2 linked regions of the Xenopus tropicalis genome follow. The protein of the gene in region 1 interacts with the protein of each later gene in a biochemical or structural test. Links are inferred from orthologs where the notes say so. Each region holds a gene or a part of one and is shown in the gene's direction. Other genes may lie near its edges. The genes, in order: tnks2 and lnpep.

Region 1 (3,741 bases):
TTTACACAATGCAGCATCATATGGGGTAAACAGTTTGTTTATTGGCATATGTTTGTCTAAATCTTCTGTTGATAATTCAGAAGTAACCCACAAAGCTATTGTTGTTTTGCAGCATGTGGACGTGGCAGCTTTGCTCATTAAATATAATGCATGTGTCAATGCCACTGACAAATGGGCTTTTACGCCCTTGCATGAAGCAGCTCAGAAAGGAAGAACTCAGCTTTGCGCTCTGCTCCTGGCACATGGGGCAGATCCTACTTTGAAAAACCAAGAAGGGCAAGCTCCATTAGACTTGGTAACAGTAAGTTGATGGCCATTTTATTATTTAGATTTATTTCAACTAGAAAATGATTGTGAACATTTTGTCAGTCTTACAGCGCCGGTTGATAATACTTTTAGCAATATATCCGTTTCTGTTAATTGCTGCATATTAGCACTAATTTATAAACCGCATGCTTGCATTTTTTGCCTAGCTGCATTAACTGGCGTTCAAGTTGCTGTGTAGATTGAAAATATCCTTGAAGTTTCTTGCAGAATTTTGTATCAGCCAACCATTCCTGCTTTCTCTGCTTCACATTAACTTAATTAAAATAAAAGTTTCTGGTCCTGTTAACAAAGGACATCTGTGTGACCTTTGAAGTACAGTGGCATTGTTCCTATGTGGCTTTATTCTTCCGCTTGAGGTCTGTGGCTGGAAAAAAAAAAGTGTAGACTTTTTTTCTTCAACATTGCTTTAGCAACCTAAATATTTAGGCATTCTTGGTTTCTTTAGCAGTGCTAAAAATATTTTATATACATGTATAATAAGCCTAATTGGATTAAACTGTGACTAATTATCTTTTCTCTGTGATCAGGCTGATGATGTTCGGGCTCTTCTGACAGCTGCCATGCCTCCAGCTGCTCTGTCAACATTTTATAAGCCACAACTAATAAATGTTTCTCAGCCTTCTGCCACTGCTGTGGCAACCCTTTCTTCTGTGCCATCAAGTTCACCAACTCTCTCTGCTGCAAGTAGCCTGGATAACTTGGCTTCCGGCTTCTCAGAAGCCACCTCTGTTAGTAGTGGAGGAGCTGAAGGAGCATCTGGATTGGATAAGAAAGAAGAAGGTAAGATGTGCTTAATGCTGTCATCATTTTGTAACTATCTGTGGAACTTTTACTGCAGCTTTATAATCTCAAATAAAAAGTACCTTCAGCATTTACATGTTCTCCATTTTGTTGCCAGTATTATGTCATTATTGACGGCACCAGTGACATTGTGGCACAATTTTTTTTCCTCAAAAGTAGGCCGGTGATCACTTCTATTTAAAGATTTTTTTTTTTTTTTTTTTAAAAAGGTACATTTTATTGATTCAAAACGCAAAACAGACAAAATTAAAATAAAGCAACTTATGCTCCAGTAGGGCAGATGGGTGTCAGAGTGAACAAAGCAATATAAAGCCATATCTGCCCAGAGTATGAACTTTTACCAATACATCAACTATAGTCCAAAGCTTTTGAACAAAAAATCACCAGGTACTTTGGTTATTTACCCCTACTAGAAAGAAGGTAAGAAGTCTTTATGATGACCAAGGAATAATAAAGCGTGTCTTTAACTGTACAATTTTCTCCATAGTTCCAGGTGTAGAGTTGAGCATCAATCAATTTTTGCGGAACCTTGGCCTAGAGCACTTAATCGATATCTTTGAGCGAGAGCAGGTTAGTACTTTATGTAGTCATATTTAATGAATTGTTCTTATTCATGTTATATGTTCTGCTCATCAGTTATTGCTGTGCAGGAAGATTGCAGCATTTAGTGATAGAATATTTTTAGTAAACCAGCTAGCATCACAGACATTTTGTTTCCTGCAGGTTTGCATACTAATACCCACACTTATCTCCATCACCAGTCAAGCAAAATCTGGGATCTGCTGCATTTGATGCAAAATGAAGCCTGGCAACTTTGATTCCTTGGCTAAAATATGTATTTAAACATACAGTATTTCTGTGGCAGCTTACAATAAGTTGTGATTACTGAAGAAAAATATTTAAAATAAATATAATCATTTATGGATTTGGTGCATCTTAGAATTACTTTTTTTGTTTAAATACAGAACTCTAAATACTGTATTCTGTCCAGACTTATCCAACCCAATTGTACATGGCAGCACTTTGGTATGAGGATTGTGGAATTCATGTTGTTTTAGATCACATTAGATGTTTTAATTGAAATGGGCCATAAGGAATTCAAGGAGATTGGAATAAATGCGTATGGACACAGACACAAGATCATCAAAGGAGTAGAGAGACTCATCTCTGGACAGCATGGTAATTAAAAAGATCTAATATTCCTTATTAATCCTTTATACATTTAAGGTAGAGTTTTCCAGTCACTGTAACTAATGTTGTGCTATCATTTGTGTATTAAAAAGTAGAGCCTACATTTTAAGCATTTACTGAAAAGTAGTATCATGTACTAAAAAGTAAGTGATACATGCAAAGTGTTAGTTGTATTTCTTCAAGGAAAGTTATGGTAAAGTAACAACTGTAGCTATGGTCAACTGATTTCAGATGTAGATTTTGGCACACGTGACTTTTTAAATGGTAGCAACTCTTCTCTGTTACAGTTTGTCATTCCCTCAGTATCATTGGAATAATTTTCCTTCTCATTTGGGCACTTTAATTGTAAAGAACATTGCAGAAAATATTTAAACATTTTATGTTCATGCCTTGAAAGTGACAACTTTTATTCCAATGAAACTAACCATTAATGGACTTTATAAGTATACAAGAGGCATTCTTTAACTTAGCTTATACTCAGGTGATGGATTTTACTCTGAAACTGAATGACTAATGGATACATGTAATATATTTTGCAGACTGGACAAACTATAAGAATATAGATCACTTTGTGTATATAAACATAAATAACATTGTTAAATGCCACGGAAAACAAAACATGGGAAGCTGCTAGAAAATTGTCTAACATAACCCTTGCCTTTGTTGTTGTTTTACTTTTATTTAGGTTTGAACCCTTATTTAACACTGAATACAGCTAACAGTGGAACAATCCTGATTGATCTTGCTCCTGATGACAAAGAATTTCTTTCAGTTGAAGAAGAGGTAAACTGTGTAACAAGATCCATTTCCTTTTGACACATATATATTGGAACTTTCTTGATTATAAATCTTTCAAAGCTTTTGAGATGAGTATAAATAAAAAAAAAATGTTTTTCTAATTGCAAATACTGAACTTTTCAAATAACATTCAGACATCATTTCCTCAGAACATTCCAAGAGCTACCTCACCTCCTCTATTTACCTAAATAAACATACAGGTGGTGCTTTAGTTTGGATTCCTGCTGCTTTTAGGACTGTATAACTCTAATTCAACACCTTCCAGATGGCCCCAACATGTTCTGCAATGTGCAAATTCCATTTTATGGTACTTTATTAAGATCTCAAGTATTGCACGTTGCAGGATAAGTGGGTGGTATTTGGATTGCGTCCTATTGGAATTTTCAAGTAGTTTGTGTGTGTGTATTAATCTATTGTATTTTTTTAGATGCAGAGCACTGTCAGGGAACATAGAGATGGGGGGCATGCAGGTGGAGTCTTTACCAAATATAACATCTTAAAGGTACATGTATTGGTAATAAACTGAATGAGTGTTGTGTTACACACTTGTCTTTTGAAAAAGTTGCTAATTATCTAATTATTTTTCAATTCCTAGATTCAGAAAGTTTGCAATAAAAAACTTTG
Region 2 (3,831 bases), on another chromosome or scaffold:
GAAAATGATTTATTAGGCGCCCCCCCAGTGATATAATCTCTAACTTCAAAACATGGGCCAGTGCTCCTCCTCACTAAAAAAATACACTGTACATAAAATTGGGAACCTCTAATGTAACAAAGTTATTATAAAAGAGGTTAATTGTGATAACTATATCCCTGACCACATATAGCAGCCAATAAAGGATGAATGCAATACAGATTAGGCTTGATGACATTCCTGTTGGTACAGACCTACTGGAAAAAATAAAACCATTATATCCCATGTGTTGCATATGGTGGAACATAGAATTGCTCAACACCGCCCTTAGGGTGTATGTGATGGTAGAATGGGCATTTTGTCACCTGCGCTAAATCTCCTCCAGAACTGGAAACAAAATTTCTGAAAATATCTTTATTTGAAAATCAGTGTCTATCCCCACCAGTAAAACACTGAATCACATAATCACAACAAAATGCCTTGTAAATAAATAAAATAAAAATAAATGTTGTACATTATATTTTGGGCTTCTGTACCAGTCCAAGACAACCACAGCCCTTATGATTATGCATTAAAGCTTTTTAAGAAAATAATAAGTTAGTAAAAAAAAAAAAAAATAACAAAATACCCTGTATAACAGAACTTAGAATTAAAAGATCTGTTTATTTTGGTCATGTTGACAGAGGGTAGGAAATGTGGGGCATGTACCCCTATAAACAGAAAGGAACAAGCCAAAAATTGAGCAGACACTGCATGCAAGATCTTACAGCTTACAGAGTATTTCAGTAATGGCAACTATGGCTTCTATTGGCCTTGATCAGAGAGTGCTTAATATCTCAGAAAACATGGGTAAGAAAAAGTATTTAGCTTCCAAACAATTTTCCTATATGGTGTATTCTTGTGCACGTGCACAAATTTTGAGACCAGCATCTACAACAAATTGTGGTGCGCACAAAGAATTTTGTGTGAAAACACTAAGGGGCACATTTACTAATCCATGAACGTCCGAAAAGCGTCCGAATGCGTTTTTTTCGTAATGATCGGTACTTTGCGACTTTTTCGAGCACTCAATACGAAAAAGTCGCGACAATTCGCGAAAGTCATAATGGCTATGAAAAAGTCGCGACAATTCACGAAATTTGTATTGGCTATGAAAAAGTCTCGACAATTCACGAAAGTCATAATGCTATGAAAAAGTTGCGACAATTCGCGCAAGTCATAATGCTATGAAAAATTCGCGACAAATCGCGCAAGTCGTAACGGCTACGAAAAAGTCGCAAAAAATACGAAAAAGTCGCAAAATGTTCGTTTTCCAATCCGAATTTTTCCCATTCGGATTCGTGGATTAGTAAATCAGCCCCTAAATGTTATATCTATTCTGATTTGAGCACAGTGTTTTTAAAAATGCGCACACAAGTTTAAAATGAGTGCACAAAAGAATTGTTTTTTGCGCACACAGCCAAGAAGGTATTCGTGGGAACATTGCTTCTGAGCATCAAGGCCTAAACATGTTTTTAGAATAGTGTCTCTGTTGTTGCATGGCAGAGAACTGTATCCACTGAATAAAGAATAAATGTATTCATTCAAAAACACAAGCTGTAAGGCATGGAGATTAGACAGATTTTAGTCTAGTTTATCTTCAGCAGTGTAAAAGTGAAAAAAATACGCTTTGTTCTACCATATATGCATTAAAGGGAATGTTCACCCATATAATAAAGCTTAGTATGTTATAAAACCTGTTCTAAGCACATTTAAATTTGTTTTCATTATTTAGTGCCGAATAACAAATACGCCATAAAGGATTTTGCCAAATACCAAACTGAATCAGTGCCCTCATTTGCATATGCAAATTAAATCACAGAAAAACTCCTTGTATTGCTTTTTTAGGACAACTTAAACTTTCAAAATATGTTAGAATTCTTGTGTAATTCCACTGCTAGAATTCTATATCTTGTTACAGAATGTCTAAAAAATGAAGAAAAAAAAAATCATTTTCCTTAATATAAACATATAATATAAACATAATTTGTTTTATGCACAAAACTACAGCTGATTTATAAAGTCCTTTATCTCCTGAACGCACCAGTACCAAATATATGTACAGTTTTATGGAAACTTCTCCCAGCATTACACCACCAAATTTCCAATGCACTGATCCAGAAATCTGCATTTTTCAGGTTGTAAGGCCAAAAATTCAACTTTCAATAGGTTTACTCCAGCAATACATATTTGAAAAAGAACAGGTTCTGACAAATCCAACATTTCTAATGCTAACTACCAAGTTGCAATGTTTTTTTTTTTTTAAAAATTGTGAAATTTTTGAAAAATATGGGCTAAAATTGGCTATTAGGTAGCCTCTATGCACACTATCAGCTTACAGCTTATTTGGTGGTAAATCTTGTTTCTATTCAACCAAAACTTGCCACCAAGTCAGGAATTCAAAAATAACTACCTGGTTTGGGGGCAACCAAGCGGTTAGTGAGCAACATGTTGCTCACGAGCCACTGGTTGGGGAATTCATTGTTGCCTATACTGTGCAATCCCTACTAAGTCCTTGTGGTTTTTTCTTTTTTTGTTTATACAGTAAAGGAGCACATGTACCATAAATGCATATCAGGCATTTTTAAGTTATGTTTTATTCCTATGAATGAGCCATTTTCAGATTCTCTCTTCAAGCTCTTTGTTTTGAATCTGAATTTTCTGCATTTATGGAACCAGAGTTTTCTTTTCCAGTAGAGAAGCAGCCAGCCTTTACACGTTCATAGGCATGCTGAAGCAGTGTGTATGTTTATGGAATAGTGTTTCAGTTACACAGTAGTAACAATCAATCAACTCCACTATGCCTCCCTTGGTTTCACCTTATAATGTGCTTTCCAAAGGGACCTGCTGCTTGCCTTTGCTTTTATAAATATTAAATAAGTCCATCTAATAGCCAAATAAACAAGGTCTCCGGGACTCATCTTCAGTTTGATGCTTTTTCAATTTTCACAGATCTCTTGCAGCCACTCAGTTTGAGCCACTTGCAGCAAGAAAAGTGTTTCCGTGCTTTGATGAACCTGCTTTCAAATCCACATTCCAGATCAACATCATAAGAAATCAAAGTATGATCTCTCTTTCAAACATGCCAAAGGTAAGCTTTACATCCATCCATTATCAGACTCCATTCAGTATTCGCTTCTGGTCAATTAAACTTATAATTCAGTTCTGTAATGATAGCAACCCCCGCTTCTTTAAAGAAACTGGACCAACCTAAACTTTCTTCTGTATTGTATTTATTTATATTGCTTCACAATTGCAGTTCTTTACATGGTGTGAACACAAACAGGGGTATAGTTATATTAAAGGGGAAAGGAAAGTCATTATGGCATTTTATTGACAATAGAATACTATTCATTAGTGCTAGAATACTATATTTATTCTGCAGAAAGCTTTACCCCTCCTGAGTAAACATCTAGAAGCTCCCTGTGTTTGTTTAAAGGAGAAGGAAAGGCAAAGTCACTTGGGGGTGCCAAAATGTTAGGCACCCCCAAGTGACTTGAATCGCATACCTTTTACCCCGGGCTGGTGCCCCTGTACAGAGAGAACAGCACCAGCCCGGGGTACCTGCAGCGCTTCCTCCTTCCTGTATCGCTTGTGCGTGCATGCGCAGTAGAGTGAATAGCGGAACTTTAACAGAGAAGTCGGTTTTTACTCTACTGCGCATGCGCCTATTGTGTTAGTCGCAGCGAAACGAAGCCGGAAGGAGGAAGTGCTCGCTCCAGGTACCCCAGGCTGGTGCTGTTTTCTCCTAACAGGGGCACCAGCCCGGGGTACAGGGTAGGCGATTAAAGTCACTTGGGGGTGCTTAACATT

What was found.
Region 2: the proteins of tnks2 (region 1) and lnpep form a complex in vitro, tested with the Homo sapiens proteins (4 studies listed by BioGRID and IntAct, with this or other methods). The link is inferred for Xenopus tropicalis from reciprocal best matches to the Homo sapiens genes TNKS2 and LNPEP.

Annotation. Positions count from the first base shown.
Region 1 is NC_030683.2:37,238,094-37,241,834, forward strand, and holds part of tnks2 (tankyrase-2), read left to right. Parts: coding exon 1-25; intron 26-112; coding exon 113-301; intron 302-854; coding exon 855-1,107; intron 1,108-1,615; coding exon 1,616-1,698; intron 1,699-2,186; coding exon 2,187-2,307; intron 2,308-3,004; coding exon 3,005-3,102; intron 3,103-3,544; coding exon 3,545-3,619; intron 3,620-3,712; coding exon 3,713-3,741. UniProt on the Homo sapiens protein: Poly-ADP-ribosyltransferase involved in various processes such as Wnt signaling pathway, telomere length and vesicle trafficking.
Region 2 is NC_030677.2:176,658,988-176,662,818, reverse strand, and holds part of lnpep (leucyl-cystinyl aminopeptidase), read left to right. Parts: intron 1-2,970; coding exon 2,971-3,109; intron 3,110-3,831. UniProt on the Homo sapiens protein: Release of an N-terminal amino acid, cleaves before cysteine, leucine as well as other amino acids. Degrades peptide hormones such as oxytocin, vasopressin and angiotensin III, and plays a role in maintaining homeostasis during pregnancy.